4 linked regions of the Drosophila melanogaster genome follow. The gene in region 3 interacts genetically with the main gene of each other region. Each region holds a gene or a part of one and is shown on either strand. Other genes may lie near its edges.

The links.
Region 1: of grh (region 3) and Dg, changing one enhances a phenotype caused by changing the other (phenotypic enhancement), as found in Drosophila melanogaster (one study listed by BioGRID).
Region 2: of grh (region 3) and fz, changing one enhances a phenotype caused by changing the other (phenotypic enhancement), as found in Drosophila melanogaster (one study listed by BioGRID).
Region 4: of grh (region 3) and stan, changing one enhances a phenotype caused by changing the other (phenotypic enhancement), as found in Drosophila melanogaster (one study listed by BioGRID).

What each region holds. Positions count from the first base shown.
Region 1 is NT_033778.4:16,095,558-16,100,388, reverse strand, and holds the start of Dg (dystroglycan), read left to right. Parts: upstream 1-1,824; 5' UTR 1,825-2,261; intron 2,262-4,831. Other genes in the region: CG8414 (uncharacterized protein), read left to right, coding at 1-695, 754-1,019; mRpL34 (mitochondrial ribosomal protein L34), read right to left, coding at 1,088-1,310, 1,374-1,396.
Region 2 is NT_037436.4:14,272,632-14,277,361, forward strand, and holds the start of fz (frizzled), read left to right. Parts: upstream 1-1,711; 5' UTR 1,712-2,423; coding exon 2,424-3,095; intron 3,096-4,730. UniProt on the Drosophila melanogaster protein: Receptor for Wnt proteins.
Region 3 is NT_033778.4:17,800,219-17,805,273, reverse strand, and holds the start of grh (grainy head), read right to left. Parts: upstream 3,029-5,055; 5' UTR 1,883-3,028; intron 1-1,882. UniProt on the Drosophila melanogaster protein: Transcription factor that binds a CNS-specific regulatory element of the Dopa decarboxylase (Ddc) gene. Also interacts with sequences adjacent to other transcription units, including Ultrabithorax (Ubx) and engrailed (en).
Region 4 is NT_033778.4:10,671,397-10,676,371, forward strand, and holds the start of stan (starry night), read left to right. Parts: upstream 1-1,948; 5' UTR 1,949-2,573; intron 2,574-4,975. UniProt on the Drosophila melanogaster protein: Involved in the fz signaling pathway that controls wing tissue polarity. Also mediates homophilic cell adhesion. May play a role in initiating prehair morphogenesis. May play a critical role in tissue polarity and in formation of normal dendrite fields.

The sequences.
Region 1 (4,831 bases), 1.7 Mb from region 3:
TGTACCCCAGACTATTTCTTGCACCGTAATTGATGAGCCCCTTCTGGGACCGGGCTTCCTGTACAACAGGCAGCCGGAACATGCCATTGTCGTGGGCCACACCAACATTGTCTTGTGCGCAGAGCAGTATGCCCGAGCAGTTATTCAGCTAGTCCAAAACATTCAGAACGATGCCAAGTATTCAAATATTCCTTGGCTGATAAATACGATGGGCTATAATAAGGGATTTGGTATCGAATTGATGGCTCTGCTGGTGGATCGCATTCGTCCCACGGATCTTGTACAGATTGCCAGTCCCATTCCAATCAATAACTTTGATTCTGTCCTCGACCGGAACAGTCTGTCGCAGATAAAACCAATTATATACTCTGCGGAGGAGTTCAAGATCAATGAAATACCAAAATACACACTCCATAAGCTGATAAGTGCAGTGCCTGCAAGGGAAAAAGGAACTTGGAGTCTCAGCGCCAAGGACATGCGGTACTCCAATCTTCTGGCACGTCTCAGTTCCTGCCTGACTGGAAATGCCAAATCTCTTACAGACTGCCAGCCGTTGGGAGTGTCTTTGGAATCCCTGAAAATCCTGCATCCCACCAGCAAGAATTACTCGCGCGAAGAACTGATTCGAGGCATGGAGGCTAATGTAGTATATCTGTGCCATCACGGAGCAGGTCTGCCCCAATGTTTGGGAATAGGTTTGTACACATTCACGTTCTTTTGTGGCTTATTAATTGAATTCCAAAATTCTTTTAGGTGTGGTTCGCGCCATCGACTACGAGCGCAAGGAGTTATACCTGGTGCCAGCAATGCCGCTACAAAAGATGTCCCTGGTGGATTGTCTTATCCTCGGCGGGGAACAGTCCCTGCCGCAGGGCTTCCTTCGGGATCAGGGCCAAGGTGTGTCCAGCAGTGTGCCCTTCGTGTTCATCCTTGACGATTCGAAATCTTCGAAGAGTATTCAGCAGATCTACCATCGAGCGCCAGCCTTTCTGGGAGTACCAGCGAATCAACGAAACTAAAACTGAGCTTACTGTAGCAATCGCAATCGGATAACATTGTAAATAAAGTTAGGTTTATTAACACAAGGCTAGTGTGACAAATTGTGACGTCCTTTGAGGATCCGGTTCATCAGCACTCGTCGTCCCTCAGGCGTCGACATCCTAGCATTCCAGCCGTGGACATTAATTCTCTTCACCTCCATGGGTTTCGGAAAATGGCAGCGTACTTTCGGTTTCAGCACCGCCCGGTTGAAAGCGTGCTTATCCCGCACGATTAGAGTTTGTGCGGTGCTGACAACCGCCAGGCAGGTCCTGCAATGCCAATGTATGTTATTATACCACTCAAAATAAATGGTATATTCATTATTTACTCGCCTTTGGAGCATTCCTTGCAGCATGTTAAGTAATTTCCAGTTAGTATGACCGCATGAAGTCCGAATAATACCGCCTGAACAGCCGGTAAGCCGCTTTGGCGTTGCCAGACCATTGGGTTCGAAATTTCGAACTTAGCTGCATGCTATTTTACGTTAGCATGTAAAATGCATTACATATAGATGGAATCATACAATTAATCTAAAAAATCGTCATAATATTGGTCAAATGGAAAACCACCATATGGGGACAAATTAGATAAACCGCTTTTAATTGAATGGATCTGAAAGTAACCGAAAACTTTTTAAATATGGAATGAATATGTTTGGTTGTACATATATCGAATTGGTATTGTGCCATCTCTAGCTACCCACGATGGTTGTGGCAGCGCAGCTGTTGCAAATGAATCCACAAGATACATTTCGGTATATTTTCCGCAACGGATTCTTTTCCACCCTCAGTTGCGGTCACACTGCCTAGCCAACAACAACCACAACTCGGTGCCGTTAGGGCTGCGTTTGTTTTCTGCTCCCATTCAGCTGCATAGAAAAGAAAGAAAAGTGAAAAGTGTTCGGAAAACAGGCAGCATGTGAAGCATAATTACTCCACGGAATTACTATCTCAAACGAAATAGTTGTCGCCGAAAAGAAGTGCGTAAAATCGCGAGTGAGCTCGTGAAAATAGAATAAAAAAGCGCTCTGCAATTGAAGAGAAACATTGCTGCAGTCGTGTGTACGTGCGTGTGTTTGTGCGTGCGAGTGTGAGTGTCGCTCTCTGGACGCAATTTCTTTGGCCAAAAGAGTGGGGAAGTGGGGCAGGAGAGTCCCGAATCGAATCCCCGAAACAGGCAATCCGAATCCGAATCCGGTGCATTAAAAATAGCGCAACGAGGTGAGTAAAGATGCAAACTGCAGCATTCAGTTCACGAGCTGATGCCAACAAAAAGAACTCCAATTAGCCATGTCTGCAGCCAGCCAAAAAAATAATGAAGAACGGCAGAAAAAATACAACAAGAAAATCGATTTTCCTGAACTTACAATTTTCTCCGCCTCACTGGGCAAAAGGGGGGGCGAAATGGAGCTTGGGGAGCCGGCTACGGCTCCATAAAGTATACATAAATTGAATTTCGAAACACGGAAGCGAAATGGATGCACTGGACGAAATAATGAATAAATTATTTTGATATCGAAAAGTTATTCTCGTTAGAAAAAGTTTCGCTGAGGGTCTCGAACGCAGTCTGTTTTTATAAAAGCATATTATTTAGCCTTATCAAGCAAGAGGATGAATAAAATTGCATTAAAATGTATTTCGACTAAATTTCGACTTGCTATACTTTATTTCTCTGCGTGTAAAAGGGGGCAGGAGGCTGCACACGGCTGTTGTTCTTGTTTTGTTTGCTGGTGTGGATGATGATGGAAATACTTGCATATGTGTGTGCGTTCTGCACAGAGGGAGATGTAAAAATTGAAAAATCTGACCAGAAGCAGGACCCTCCGACTTTTGGTCCAGTTGTCATGGCCACCGCACTTAACAAATGATTTTAGCGGCCACTTTTTCCCGGATGCGAATGGGGCAGCTGTCACTCCGTTTGCCTCCTCCTCCTTTTCTCCTTTTTCTGATTTCATCTGTCTGCCCCTTTCTATCTTGCTCTCTCCCCGTGTTCTCCAACGTGTGTGTGTGTGTGTGCGTATTTTGATGACGGCACTCAGTTTCCGCCCGCACTGTGATTTTTGGCCATACACGGCACCAATGTTTCAGTACAGTGGAACCTGGTGCGCAGGAACCAAATGAAGTTAAGTTTAAAACTGCATTTACTGCGACCATTTATGAAATTTTTTAAATGAGTTACATTTCAGGTTCTTCTAGATTTGTTTTAATGTGAGTAAACAATTTCTGCTTTAAAACGTAAAACTCACATGTACATAATATACAATTGTTGGCAAAGCAATAAAAACTTATTACTACCATAAAAATAAATAGGTCGACATTTTCAGACGCAAGAACGCATAGAATGTGTGAACAATACGTACAATAGCTTATTGACACAATATTTAGCATTCAGCGGATTAACTCATCAACGTTGGTTTTTGATTGAATGTGTTATATTATCTATTTATGTACATATTATATTATATAATATTTCGGCATAGGCTTTAACTAACTTTATGCTTGCCACTGTTTAAACTGGCTTGGTTTATCATACGTTTTTCCCAATTCGCGAGTGCCTACTGTAGAAAATCCCCGGCATTACCACTCAGTTTTCGGCACTCTTTTGCGGATGCTGCGTACGCAAAAAGGGGACGTCGGCTGTTCTAAGAGGACTAGATGTTTCCTTTTCACTTCCGCCAGCACCCCTAAATTACGTGTCTCTGTGTGAGTGTCTCTGCACGTGTGTGTGTTGCGTGCAAGTGTGTTTGTGTGTGTGGGCCAACAAAATTACTTTTACGAGCATTTAGCATAGGTTGTTGTCCCTTCGCCCATTTCCCCGGTTTCCCTTCGCCACCAGTTAGTTTTATTTTGATGCGTTTTTAATCAGATTGCGTCAATTTGTTGCTGGCCCAACGATGAGGGCGGTCCCGGTGGAGGGGGGGGGCGTTGGGATTGTCCTATTAGCGCTTGTGTGGGAGTGAGCGACCATTTCCCGGGTTGCGTGTCAAGTGCAGACCCTTTTTTCGCCCGCTTTTTTCACTAATTATAAGAATGTCTGTTTTGGCCTCGCATCTGGATGATGGCTCGTCATTGGGCTTACATTCTCGCTTTTGATGACTCAAAACTTAACTTTTCACTTTTGCAGTTCTCTTTGTGGCACCCACGCAATTAATTGGATTGATAGATTGAAAGCCTTTTGTTTTTAATTTTAGCAAATTAAATGCAAGAATAATACTTAAATGATTATATAGATATAAACTTTGAAATTTGATTATGATAATATGATAATATGAAAACAACTTGTGCTGAAGGAGAGACAGCCGAAGTTTAGGCACCAATTTGCCAGCAAAAGATAACAAGAATTCATTGAATTATGTTTGTTTTAACCAGTTAGGTTATGCATTCTTATGTAAAGTTTACCTTTTCTATAAACTGTAACTGATGTTAAATTTCATTTTTTGTATTCGTTAGTTAGTTAGTAAGGGGATCAACACTTCGTTGTTCAGTCGCCTTGTTTTTCTTAGTACCAATTCTTTTTGCTTTGCGCTTCTCCGTGGCCCGTTAAAGTACAGAAATACTTGGCCAGGCCGGCCGGAGTGCGAGTATCGTATCTATCATGGCGGCAGCTGTCCAATTCTCCAACCAGCCGGCACTGGATCGCTGTTTGTTGTTGTTGCTCTTGTATCTGCTGTCTGTCGTCTTCATCAACGCCTTAGTATCTGTGTTCGCTTGCTTATTTATTTGTGTGCGAGAGTGAGTAAGTGGCGCTGTGTGTGTTGTTGGCTTGAACTTTATGGCATTGCGTTGTTTTA
Region 2 (4,730 bases), on a different chromosome or scaffold from region 3:
ACATATTCCAAGCTCCTCTACGGAAATTATAAATTATATGTTTGTTTATTATTATAGTATATAAGTGATTTTAAAAGTGCACTGCTTATTTATCTGAAAATTGTACTTTAATTTTTTGTTAAGTGTATCTAGCGATTGCAAGGGGGAGACCGAGAAAAAGAGCCTTTTTATGCGGCGCAACTTTGGCGCTTTTTATTAAACAAGCCGACGAAGTGTAGAAGCGAAGAATAGGATGAGGAGGTGGCGGTGGGGGAGAACTGGGGTTGATGGAGCCAAGAAGAGAGCGGATAAAAAGAGCAAAGCATAAAATGAACTTTGCCGGCTAAACCGGTAACACTTGTTTAACGCAAAAGAGAGTGCGGGAGAGCCAGTTATGTGCTGAAAGAGATATGTTAAGTAGAGAGCGACAGAGACAGAGAAAGCCTGATCGGAGAAAAGGGTTCTACAGGTGACAAAGACAAAAGACTGCCAAGACTCCTTTAATGTCATCATTATTGTCAATATAACAAGTTTATTGACTGGCAGCAGATGCCTAACCCCCCACACCTCCCTTGGCGATCCACCACGGGGTCATTAGACAAATTCCCGCGATAAGTTCTCTTCACTCATGCTAAAGCTCAGATTAAACGCAAGTTAATGACTTAATTAACTGCCGGAAAAAAGCGAGCAAGTAAACAAACAACAGCAAAAACTAAAGATAAAGATAAATGGTAAATGCAAGTGCGCAGAGAAATGGTCGACGATAAAAATTGTCGCAGAAATCAAGGAAATTAACGCGTGCAAATATGTATTTCTATAGAGGAAGAAAGCTGGAGAAAAGCAATTATTATAGGTATATTCCAGTAGAGGGCAAATGTCTTCTAACGGCACTTGCAACAGCTGAAGATTACCAAAGAACAGTGGGAAGTGTAACGGGCATCGATGGATTGATATAAAAAGATAAGAAGGTGCGGTGACCTAAGCAATATGACATTTTAGAAACTGAAAAATATTTAGCTGACATGCACTGTAACTTTTTGACATTCGGACATAAATGTTGTATACTCATTTCGTTTTCGGATATGTATCCCATTTCAGCAAGGATTTTTTGCTGGCAAAATGATTCTAGTCTTTTTATATTGGAGCCATTTTAAATGCAGCACTTATTTCTTTTATTCATTTTATAAGCATAAGATTGGTTATAATTTATTATATCGAAAAAATGGTTAATTAATTAATATTTAAATTGGAATCTATAAATATTTAAGTATTTACAAAGTGAATATCGATGTTCAAATTTCCATTGAGCGGGCCCAACACCTAGATTTGGGCACAGCTTCCGCCCCTAATTTCCTATTAGCCCTGTCGATTGCATAATCATCTTGAATTCTAATTAATTAAATGGTCTCTTATTTAGTTGTTTGTTGATGCTTTCTTTTTCCTGTCTGCTAATCAACAGGAGGCCAAGAAGTTGAGAGGAGACAGAGTGCGAGCGAGACAGCATCCAAACAAAAGGCATAACAGCCCTGTCTTTCACTTCGCTCTCTTTGGCTCTCTGGCTCTCCCGCCGAGAGTGTCAAATTCAAGGTCGCCCCCAGTGCTATACTACAAAGCGTATAGCTGAATAAAACCTCCTCTCACACCATTCGAGCGAAAGAGCGCATATTCAGCGTGTGAGCAGGAGAACGATACGGTGAGAGAGCGGCTTGGAAAGAGCCCCATGTTTTCAGTTCCTCAGTTTGTCAGCGTATGCCCTACCATGCGGATGTGCTCGCGGATTGATTTCGACTCGAACTCCGGCTCCGTTTTCGTCTTTTAACGTAAGTCCCGTGCGAAAAAGTTGAATTCGACTCCGTGTTTGTTCAGTTATTTTTTTGCGCGGTTTTCGAAAAAGTGAAAGAAATAAGGAAATTCAAAAAGCGGGGGAGGCATAAATGATATACAGCTAACGGTACTTATGTATGTGCATACAGCAAGATAAAAATGTGGCTGCTAGAAAAGTAAAGCCCGGTACTGTGCCAGATAAAAGCCAACGCTACTAAGTCCTAAAGACCCCCAAAAATTAAATTTTGACACAATAATATTTTGCCAACAACAAATAGCAAAGTCGAATTCAAACGGTTAAACCAAATTGAAGTCGGAAAATAACAAAAAAAGTCTAAACAAAATAAAGAGCAAAAGCAAACGCAAATAAGAGAATAGAGAGAAATATTTATTATTTGCTTATAAGGCCAAACTAAATATTTGCCGCCGGCAAATATTTAAAAGGTGTTAAGTGTTTCGTGGGAGTGAAGTTTTTAAACAGGGAAAATAAATCAAATAAGTATTCAATGGTGTATAAGTGAGTGCAAGTAGATGAGCAACATGTGTGTGTTTTAAAGTGTTTAAAGAGATCGAGAAAAAGCCCCAAAAGTTATTTGACAGCGATATCGAAAAATTCCAAAATGTGGCGTCAAATCCTGTTTATTTTACCCACCCTGATACAGGGGGTCCAGCGCTACGATCAGAGCCCCCTCGATGCGAGTCCGTATTATCGCAGCGGCGGGGGATTAATGGCCAGTTCTGGGACCGAACTAGATGGACTGCCACATCACAATCGCTGTGAACCCATCACCATATCGATCTGCAAGAATATACCATATAACATGACCATTATGCCAAATCTTATTGGCCATACCAAGCAGGAGGAGGCGGGTCTGGAGGTCCATCAGTTTGCTCCGCTCGTGAAGATCGGCTGCAGTGATGACCTCCAGTTGTTCCTCTGTTCCCTGTACGTTCCGGTCTGCACAATTTTGGAGCGACCCATTCCGCCTTGTCGATCTCTGTGCGAATCGGCGCGGGTATGTGAAAAGTTAATGAAAACCTACAACTTTAACTGGCCGGAAAATCTGGAGTGCTCCAAATTTCCCGTCCATGGAGGCGAGGATTTGTGCGTGGCGGAGAATACCACATCATCGGCCTCCACGGCGGCCACGCCCACAAGGAGTGTGGCTAAGGTCACTACCCGTAAACACCAGACGGGCGTAGAAAGTCCGCACCGAAACATTGGATTCGTGTGCCCCGTGCAACTGAAAACGCCTCTGGGAATGGGCTACGAACTAAAAGTTGGCGGAAAGGTAAGTTCTTTAATGAAAATAAATTCACTAAAAAGCGCCGAAAAATAAGCATCATATAAAAATAGGGGGTTATAGGCGCATACTGTATACCTTTTAAAACATTAGTTTTCTATTATTTATGCATTTAATTTTATGATTAAACATGTTATGATTATGACAAAAGTTAAAAACAAGTTCTATAATCATCCGTCGGGTGAGCACAAACTTTTAACCATGTCCAAACTAAAAACGAAGTTGCACAAATAAATTTTGGGTACTAACATCTGTTTAGCGAATGTATTTAGCGCTTTCTTGACTAAATGTATGCTTTAAGTACCCCAAGCCTTTTAGTGAGTATTTCGTTTATTTCTGGAACTTAATATGCCACATTTGGGTTGGTCCCATGTAGGTCAATGATTTTTTTATGTCTTCATTTGAACTCCAGACTCAATTTGTAGAGCAGCGTAGAAGTAGGGAAAAATGCAAATCCTGTTGCGCCGAGAAAACAATTTCCAACCACCAGGGAAAACAGCAGGAGGTCCTTGGCAGGCCAGGAATAACGAGAAGAAGGAGAGAAGGGCGACGAGCCCGCATTCTACCTGCCCGCAGCTCACAAAAGATGGTTAACAGCGGCAGGTAGATCGTTTTTTCTTTGGCTTCGGTTGAGGAAAGGTAAACCAGTTCTTTTTGGAGTTGTGTAATTTGTAATGCCTGCTTAAAAGTATTCCCAAAAAAAGTAAAAAAAAAATGTAACATGAACCATAGAATGTTTAATAACTTGAACTGAGGGTCAGCCTGTTGCATTTTCACGTTCTTTAATTAATTTTCCACCCTTTTCCTTTAGCAGCTTTTTTTCGGGTTCTTAAGCCCCTCAGCAGACTGATTTTTCCACGATTTATTTTCTGTTGGTTTTGGATGAGTGATGATCATCGTCTATGTGTTTCCAATGTGTTTATCTTTTGCTATTTTTAGCCGTCACTCTGTTGTTGCCGGCTGCCATAAGTAAAGCGCATTAAATACTTTGAGGCAGGATAATTCACACTTCCCTCAGTGTCTGGATATCTGGCGGATACATGTGTATCTCTTAGCTACTTTACCATTGCGATTTCTCGGTGTTTTTTCTTCTTTCGTCTCACTCGCTTTTTCTTGATTGGTCTCGTTTTTCCTTGGCTGTGTGTCATCAGTTCCTCTTGGCCTTGCTGCCTTCTTTCCATCCCCATATCATCATGGCTGTCAGCATCTTTGGTTTAGCCGGAGTCCCCAGACCCCGTGCTTAAATGCCTTTTGAGAGCTGCGTGCGAAATTTAGCAGCTTGTTTGCCTGGATTGCATTTGGCCCACATCACGATTCTGTCTGTAAGAGTATCTGCAAATGAATCCGTATCTGTATCTCTGTGTGTTTTGGCCCTGTTTGCCGTGCTTTATGAGCTAGATAGGTCTCTTTGTCTGCTAATGATAATGGCGCAGTGTGAGAGCGTGAATTAATGCTTATTGGATAGATAATGATCCGACAATATAAACATATAATTGCCATGTTAGAAACTAGTGGTATTAACAAGCGTTTTATAAGGGCTCCACAGGTACAGATAAGAAATTGGTCGAAATCAAAATTATAAACTTTATGATTAATAGACAAAGAACTATATTTTAACCCAGA
Region 3 (5,055 bases):
AGCAATTCCATTTCAAATCCCATTAAGATTTGACATAATTTGAAATTTGGATTTTACGTATCTTTACCTTACTTCGCGTGAATGTAGGGGGGGGATGGAGAGGGGTAGATGGGAGAGGTGGAGAAAAGACAAGAGAAGAAATGCGCAGCGTAACCCTAAGACATCAACGGTCAGAGTTGTTGGGCATCAATAACCAATGACTGAGACTGGAGAGTTGGTAGATGGTACACGGCAAGAAATGCCATGTCGATTCAAAACTTTGAGTTATATTATTAATCTGATGATATAGAAACTCATTGAAACGATTTTATTTTAGCTTTTGACTTCTTAGCCTCTTTAAGAATAATTATATGCATAAATAAATCCTCATAATATCACCATCAATGCATCCCCTTTTCTCTCCGTGTATTTGGGAATGTTCAGGGAAATAAAGGCGTGCATGGATGGGGCAGGGGTGGCGAGCGCGAAGGGGAACGGGAACGGCTGCAAGACGGAGTCAAGAAGTCCCGAAGAAACGAAGAAAGGCTAAAGAAAAGAAAAACAATAAACGTTAACACGAACACGAAAATAAAATAACTCTCTCACGAAGTTCCCCCTTTTTTTTGTGTGTGGGTTACATGTGCCTGTTTCGCTGTGTGCGTGTGTATCTCACGGCTGAATGTATCTGTGTGTCTGGCGGTGTGAGTGCTGCGTAGATGTTCATTTTACTGTACCATAATCGCAGCCCCAAATTGATCACCATCATCAAGAAGGGAAAAAATCAAAAAAAAAAAAAAAAGAAAGAAAATAAAAATCATAATAAAAAGAAGCTGAGAACATAAGAGGCAAAAGGCAGCACAAAAGTCCAGGGGAAAACGTAATCACAAACACTGGGCAACATCATCGATTTTCGAACAAGAAGGCTGCGCAGTAGACGTCGACGCAGAGGCAGAGGCCGAGACCGAGACAGAGGCGTCTTGATCCCTTCTCGCTACCGCTCTTTATGGCCAACTCTCCCGCTCTAGCAAGGTATTGTTGGGAGCACAACGGCAATATGACAGCAATACCAATACCTGTGCGACTTACCTGCCGCTGCCGCTGCGCAGCGGCCACTTCGAAATACGAAATACAAAATAAAACCAAACAAAGAGGAATGTGTGCGCGAAAGATACCACCAACAACACAACGGCAACAGCAACAGCAACAATGACAACAACAACAACAACAACACGAGTTGAGGCTGGGACCAAGAGACTTAGGCTACGTCTGCACAACATACAGGGTGTCCACTGTGAACGAAGGCTTTCAAAAGCAACACTGGCCAGCAGGGTAATGAAATCGTTTAGTTTCAATACATTTGAAATCATTTAAAATGCCTAGCCGTATAGATATAATAAAACTTATTAAAAAAACATGCAGAATGCATTTTAATTTAAAACCGCACGAACTAAATGGATTTTATGCCTACATCTCCAGCAAAATTGTTTAAAAATATTTCTATGAGATTGTCGTTGTCAAATAATATCGAAATAATATCCAATTACCATTTTTCTATTAACTCCATCGAATCAACTTGACGTACTATGTATAAATCTAGCTAAAATATATCTTATAGTTTGGTAATACCATATGTTTTTTAAAAATATCAAGTTTTGAAAAATATTTATTTTTGAAAAGTTTCTACACCCTAGTAGTGCCCAAAAAATGCCCGCTTTTATTGCTCTCTTTATTGGGAATACCAGCTATTGTGATGGAATCTCCCGAAAAAAGGGATCTATAAGCCGAAAACCAAATGGTCAATAGGGTGCTATATTTCTGACGGTGTAATCCCTCCATGAACCGACCAGGGCTACATAGCCTGATGCGTTTATAATTACTTCTTGGTAGGCTAAGTACTACTCACTTTTGGGCCGGGGTGCCTTGAGCTCTTGGGATCAGGATGCGGATTTTGGCACTTGGTGAGGATCTATGGCACTCGAGCACGCTGGAGCAGTGGATCGGATCGGTGGAACTGGAGCTGGATCGTGGACTGGAGTCTGTTTGCTTTGGGAGTCTGCAACCTGGGAGTCTGGAGCTGTAACTGAAATGTGGCTGCTGCTGCTGCTGCTGCTGTTGTTGGTTGCTCCGTTGTTGCTGTTTTGCTGGTGGGTGCACCTTTCGCCACTCTTTGTGCTGTTTTAGTTGTTGTTGTTGTTGTTGTGCGTCTGGGGGCTTTTAGCCTGGCTCTCTGGGCCTTTGGCTTACACAATGCTCTCGGCTGGCTGCTTTTGGCCGCTTCTAATGTGCCACTCTTTGTGGTATGTGGAGCTGTTGTTGTTTCGTTCGCTTGGTGCTGCCTTTGTTGCTGGCGGTTTGTGCATTTTGGCCTAACATTTGATGTTGCTGCTGCTCATATTGCTGCTATTGCTACTGGAGGGCGCAAAAGTTGAGGGGGCGGGTCGGTTCGGGGGCGTTGCGCCTGGCATTTGCGTTTTCAAGCCAATTTGTTGTTGTTTTTTCTATTTTTCTATGAGTATTTTCACTATTTTTTACGCGCTTTCCGCACTAGCATTTGTTATTGCTGCTGGTTCTGGCTGCTGTTATTAATCACTATTTTTATTTTGCATTTTATTATTCGCTGCTCAGCTTTGATGGCGTCTCATTCCAGCTCGCAAGCGCACACACACAGGCACACTTTAAGCTCACGCTCTCCGAGAGACATGCACACGTACACACACACAGATACTCTCGCACTCAACACACACGCACACACACACGAGGTTTTTTTTCGCTTTTTCAGCCTTCTCTTCCTCTTCGTGGCTGAAATTCGTGTGTGTGTTTTATTTAATTTCGAAAAAGTTTAAGCGCGACTTTTTGCTGTTTGTTTGGCGTAGAAACTTTTGGATTTTTCGCAAATATCGCGACACACACGCGCACTCACAGGTAATTTCGATTTGAAACGATTAGTCGGATTTGAAACTATATATTTTCGGTGTATTAACTTGCTGACTTTCCGTGTGCGCGGAAAACTTGTCGTCGCTGTCGCTGGATCTCGGCTCTTGGCTATAATGCCCAAAGAGTCAATTGGAGATTGTTCAACTGTTGAATGTGCTGCTGCCGCCGCTGCTGCCACCTCTGCCGACGTCGTCGTGCAGTTGTATTGGTGGCAAGGTGATGTCTGTGTTCGCGGCGCTGGTTAGAGAGCGCTCGATTATTATTGCTTTTTATGGTTTCATCTCTTTCGTAACTGATATTGAGCGAACGCGGCAGCGACGCCGGCAGCGCAGCGCCACTCAAATTCATTCGAATCGATGATGTTGTCTCTACACTCCCAAACACCCATACAAGTGCGATCTAAAACACAGGTAGCCCAGTGCTTCCATCTGTGTGTGTGTGTGTGGGTGCACCTGCAGAGGCCGAAACGCAGGCAGGTACAAAAGACTTAGGCAACGAACCTTCCACTTCAGCATGCACTTGCGGCGAAGGGAGATGGCAGATCAAAAGAGAGAGAAAGAGAGAGGGCAAGAAAGAGAGCCACAGCCACCCTCGACACGGGCAAACCGCTCCTGCATTTCGTATCTCCCGGACTTTGCGTTTATTTCTGTGCTGCGGCATTGCATTCATCGTCGAAAATTCGAATTCGCTGCTCGGTTCACTCTACTTCGCTTTCGAACTCGCCGCCTTGTTGTTCTGTTTTTGTTGTTGTCATTCGGCTTGTAAACCGCGTGAAAGTGGTAGTGCAATCGGGCATCAGGTAGAGAAACAAACACACACAACAGCGGGAGAGAGGTGGAGAGAAAGACCGAGATCACCGCATGCCAAGAGAAGTCCCTGCAAAAAATTACTGGATACAAAGATGCACTTTCTGAAAACTATTCCGCGGTTAAGCAGTTCAGATAATTAATATAGTTCAACTCTTAATTCTTATATAAAATACTGTTGATAGGTTTCCTATACACAAGCTAAATCACTAAAGCACTTTGTATGATTAAATATTAAAAAAATTTACGAATATTGCATATATTTAACATAAAATCAAATAAATCAACTCGAATTGTTAGCACTGTGAAATGAAGGATTTTTTTCTCCGTGTGGCATACATACGTAAAATAGTTGTGCATGTACCACAATCGAAAACGCCAAGTAGCTGCCGTGCCGCCGCAGCCTCCGCCGCTCTCTGTTCCGTTCTCTCGGCCTGGCTTTCGGTTAACCTCAGTCGGGCTCCTACAACCTCACCTCGCCAGGCGGCGCGGCAATCAGCGCTGTGTCGTGTGGATCGGCGGACGAACCGACGGACGGTGCTTGTGTGCTTTCCGCCATGGTAAAGGGTGACTCCCCCCAGCTTCCTTTCCTCCGAGCTCCCCCCACTTGGATCCCGCACTCACCAATTCACGTTGTTTGTCTTTTGGCGCTGCGCACGCGTGGAACTGTGGTTAAGAACGTAAAGCAGCGGGCGCTAGTTTTCACTGAAGCACTAGACATTCTACGCAATGTAAAATATTTATGTAAAATGCAATTTTACAGTAAATATTTAAAAAGTACATTCATGATGATAAGTAACAATAAATAAAGATAAAATTAAAAATATTTAATGTAATATGTTGAGTTCCAGGAGCCCAATTACAAACACTTGCATCTCAAGTTTGAATTTGAGTTTTATTTTCATTTCGGTTTATTGTTGCAATATATTAAATGTTTAAAACTAAATTTAGGCTTAGTTTAATCCATTTTTTATTTATTGATTTTGCCGTTTTTGCGTTTACACATTAGTTGATTTTCATGTAATAAATTTAATTTGTGGTTTTTAACTGGTCGAAACATTTCACTAATGCTTGATTACGTTTTTGTACATATACCGCTAAGTAGTATATATATGTATGCATGTATCGGTGTGTGTGTTTTGTGTGCGAGTGTGGCGGTGTATATAACTAAAAACAAACAACAATCGCATTAAATGTACTTATATATTTGGTTTTTTTCTTCAAAAAGTCTTATATCTGTCCGTTATGCAAAAGTAAGAAACCGAAGAGAAGCATTCACAAACAAACATTCCATCCCTCCGCGCGTCCCTTTGTCCAGGACATTTTTGTCTAACCT
Region 4 (4,975 bases), 7.1 Mb from region 3:
AGGTTCAGTGAAGCGGCAGCAAAACCCCTTCGCCTTCCTCCCCTTCCTGCGTTTTTATATCGCTCGCAGGCGGCACTTGCATAAACCAAATGCAGAGACAAGTGTCTTCGTCCTGCAGAGAGAGAAAGATGTGGACACTATGGATGGATAGCCACTCAATCCAAACAAAAATGTGCCACATAAACAAGAAGACGCTGATACGTTGAGTGCATTTTACATATTTTTTTACTACTCTCAGATTGTTTATTTATATTGAATACAAAAATCGGACTTTGCTTATTTAAACAAAATTCCTCGAAGTGATATTTTTCCAAGTGTTTGGCCTGCTTGGCTGGACACGCTGAATCGTGGAGGTTTGGCCTTGTTCCCTCCTGATAACCCATCTTCCAACTCCGATCTCCGAAAAGGGCTGCCGGCTTTCGACGTGTGTCAAGTGTGCTGCATTTGTTTAATGCCAGCGCTCAGTAATTGGAAAGCATGTCGAACATGTCGAATTTATTGCCCCGCAAAAAGCACACAGATACAAATTGAAACGGTTACAGATTACGGATGCAGCTAGCTACACATGGCCACAAGGTTACATAGACACGGATACAGATCAATGGGGGAATTCAGAGCATTCCGAGTCAATGGCTTGGAAGAGCCTCAACCAAATGCAATTAATCAAACGCAAGGGGCCAATGTCAATTACATGCAAGAAACCCCCATTTCGGTCTCCTATTCTCCTATTCCTTCGATTCCTCCCAAAATCCCTTCGATTCGTTGCTATTCGGAAGTATTCGGACCACGTCAGCTGGCCAAATGCGAGTTGTTGGCCAAACGACGATGTCTTGGCCAACACCTTCCTGTAAGCTATAAATTCCGCCGACACATACATACATCTACCAGCGTAGCCATTACCCACGACTGTTGTCCTTGTGGGCCAAAAGCTTGTTCGGTTTCTGGGTCCCAGCATATGTTTATCACTGCTGCCGAATTCTGCCAACCAAAATTGCATTAAATATTTTGCATAATTCGATAAACTGAAATCTAATCGAATGGCAAGCAGGAACATGCGAATTTCTGGCATACCTATGTATAGATCCCAATTGGAATAATGATTCATCCCTAATGGCTTCGTAATTGAAACTATTCACTTAACAGCTCTTGACACTTGAACCTCATCATAACATGGAAAACGGTCATTTGGTCGGTTTTAATGGTGTACTACATTTTTGGTTTTGACAGTGAACTTTTAGCATATTATGTTTCTGAACATAAATTGCGTTGATTTAGACTATCGCTTAATTATGCCAAATAATATGTTTGTTTGTTTATTTAGTTTTCAAACCAAGGCGTTCAACAGAAAATGAATTATTATTGGTGGGACACAAAAACTAGGCTATATGGAATATTATTTATTAATATTAACAAATGAATACACCACATGTAAATTTATAAGTTAGCAATTTTATGTTCAAGTTTTACCCGTAAGGGATAATGTTCCACCATCTTTAGATTCGCAAACTAATTCCGATTACAGGTGTTGGCCCGATGCACAGATAACACATTTATTTAACATTTATTTAATAAATAGTAGTAAAATTATATAAATATCACATTTAATAAATTGAGTCGATTTAAATCTTTGAGCATGCAAAGCGTGCTGCAAAACTAATTTACTGATAAGAAAAAGACTTTCGAAGTTTCCAAAGATTGAATATCCTACAGGTTGAAGAATCCTGGATCAAATTGCACGTTTTTATGCTCGGGGATGCAAACCGAAATTTGGTGGCACCTCTCTCTGCTGCCGCAACATGTTGCAACAGTCGCGGCAATGTTGCTGCAACACGCAGTCACCCCCCGCAGAAAATCCACCACCGACGAAAGTATCCATCGGATACACGAACTCGCTTCGGCTTCCAACTGAGTTTTAGCAAGAAACTCAGTTTCTGTTTCTGGTTTTGCCAGTTACCACTGCGACTCCGGACCGATTGGACGCGTTTTGAGCGTTTGGCCAGCAAGAACGGTATTATTTTTCACTCGGGGCTACGCGTGCGCGTCTCTGCAAAGTCAAAAGCAAAGACAAATGCAAAGGCAAGTGCAAAGCCAAAAGGCAGAGGTAAACGCAAACCCAAAGTAACAACTTCGACGGTCGAAATTACCGGTTTTTCGCCAACACAACATACAACAATCCTCGCTCTCAGTGAATTTTAGCGCGCGGTCTTTTCTTCGCCTGCTGTTTTCAGAAAAGTGCGTTGGCTTTTCCAACAACCACCCCCTTTTTTTAGCCGCCCAGCTTAACGGTCGGGGTTATAGTCGGTTTAGCATTCGAATTATTCGAATTTCCCGGAATCAAAATAGTTAAATCAGTTTAAACAGTGCTCTAGAGTGAGGCCAGTCACACAAACTGGCGAGTGCTAATTATAATATATTGTGTTAATAATACAAACACAAGATTCACGCAGAGGAAACAACACGGATGCGCGATTTTAAATGCAATATTATAAATATTTAACAATGCAGCCGTGCAGCTAAAGCGGATTATTGGCCACCCACGCGTGGAAATTCAGCGGCAGAGCAAACAAAAGCCTGTAAGTTCACACGTTCCAGCCAGGATATATCAAGGATATGTGCATGTGCTCGCGCATATACATATGTCCTTGTGGGCGGGATGCGGCTGCATTCTAATGGGAATTGTGCGACGCATGACACCTGATTCATGACGTATGACAGGTGTCGTTCCAACAGGACACTATATGTTCCGCAGGCGTGGCCTTAAATCTCTTAGATAAACTTCGTATTTAAGGGCTTACGCCATAGCGGAATCGCGTAATTCATATTTTCAAAGGGTTATAAGCTCTAGAAAAGTATTTTGTATCTGCATATAAATGGGGGCCTGTATGAAATATTGCTAGAACCTTTATTTGTTATATGATATGGAAAGACGCTTAGTGGTTCTGGCTACCTCTGAAATGTTTCGATTTAAGACGTTCTTAATTAACGGCTTTCAGCTCTAGGGCTTCGGCAATAAAATAGAGCTCCAATTGGGCCTTTAAACCTAAGGCCTCTTTCTTGGCCATCTCCAATTAGCAGTTGGCCCAAACAGTTGGCCGATGGCCGAAGTCGAAGTCGAAGTCCGACGCTCACACAGTGCAACTGTTAAAGTTCAGAGCCATCGCAAAAAGATACAAACGCGAAGCTCTAAACAAACATTAAACTGAATACCAAATGAGACAACAAAAGGAGGAAGCACAATAAAAGTCACATTAAAACGTGGGTCAAAAACGCGGAGAGCGCGAGGAGAGAAAGGAGAAGAGTTGGGTCAAAACATAACCGAAATCGGAATCGGGGAATCGTGGAATCAAATGCCTGCACGAGATACAAATGTATCTGTATCTGAGCGTTGCAAGTGCTTTGTTTTCCCTGCATTTCACACTTGTCCATGGGATTTTGCCTTTGCCATTGCGTTTGTATCTTTGTTTCTGCGCCCTTTGTCTGGCGCATAAATATTTCAGCAGGCCGGGACAAACTTATCTGCTGGATACATTATTCACTCGACTCAGTTTTGTCGGATTGCCAATTTATTAAGATAGATTTTATTTTCGAGGCCATTAACAGGGCCTTTGTTATATTTCGATGGGGGCCAGATACTCTCGCACATTTATGTTTTATGATTTTCTAGTTGGAATGCGGTGTGTTTGGTGCAATTGGAAGAGTCAAGTCAAGTCCATTTTGAGCCTGCCAGTGGCAAGTAGCTGAAAAATTGTTGTAAGACTGGTTTTCTGCTACTGCTCCTCGTTCGACCCCTTTCTCCCTGCCTCTCTCTAGCTCTCTCTGTCTCTCTTTCTCGGCGTGTTACCAACCTTTTCCCATTCTTCTTGCGGCTGGTGCAGAGAAAAAAAAGTTATTTACTTAGGTTAATTATGTGATCCAAGTTTAGTTACACACAAAAACATCAAATGTCGTTCTATTATATTTTATAAGACGATTAATATTAAGAGTTAAAGGCTTAAGGTGTTATCCTTTAATTTTTACAATAGGCTGTTTTCTTGAAATATGTGTAGAATGAGTTTAATCCATTTATATTTGAAATCAAATAATTGCGGATATAAAGATTAAGTTGTAGTAGAGGAATTACTTGAATAAAATTTAAGAAAAAGTAGGTAAATAAAATATTTTACCGTGCTTAAAATGAGTTTGTTAGCGCCTGGCTCTCTTCGCGGTTTTGCAGCTGTCTCGGCCAGGTTAGGAGCAATCCACCACCGGCAGGCAGATCCGCTACGGGCCATCATCCTGACCAGAACGCATCCTCTTCTTCTTCGGTAGCCGCAACCTGTTTTTCATTGGTTATGTTTTTTGTTTTTTTGAGTTCGAAGTGATCAGTTAAGACTTCAGTTGGCCAAGGAGCCAACGAAAAAGGTGATTTTTTCCGGCTTCTGATGCCACATTCACTGCGAATAGCCAACTCGCACGGCGAACTAACCTCAGTCAATCCATTCGATATCCATGCCGGCATAGGAAAACTCGTTATGACTCTTGATTAATTAACATTTGAATGCTGTCTCGTGCCAGTTAATGTGGCTGATTTGTGACCGGCTTGAGTCCATCAAAATATCAACAGTCTATTGTGGAATTTATTACAGAATCAGAGGGCCAATGGCCAAATGAGATTTGCATGGCATGGAGTTGGACGAATTCGTGTGCACACACCAGAGATTCATTGATGACGTTGATGGTCCACATTTTTCGGTATCTTTTGTGGGTTTATGGTGGCCTCTCTTGGCCACTACTCACACGGCTATCCATGAGATACTTCTGCGTAGGCATCGGCCCTCTTGGTCGCGCACTCAAAACTGGTTTCGGCCACATTCAAAATTGTTATGTTAGAATAAAAGCTTAATTGATGCATATACACACGTACGGTTCAGTTTTATACGGCAGCAGTGGTCCGTAGATACAGCCGAAAAAAAAAACAGTCAGATACATTTACATA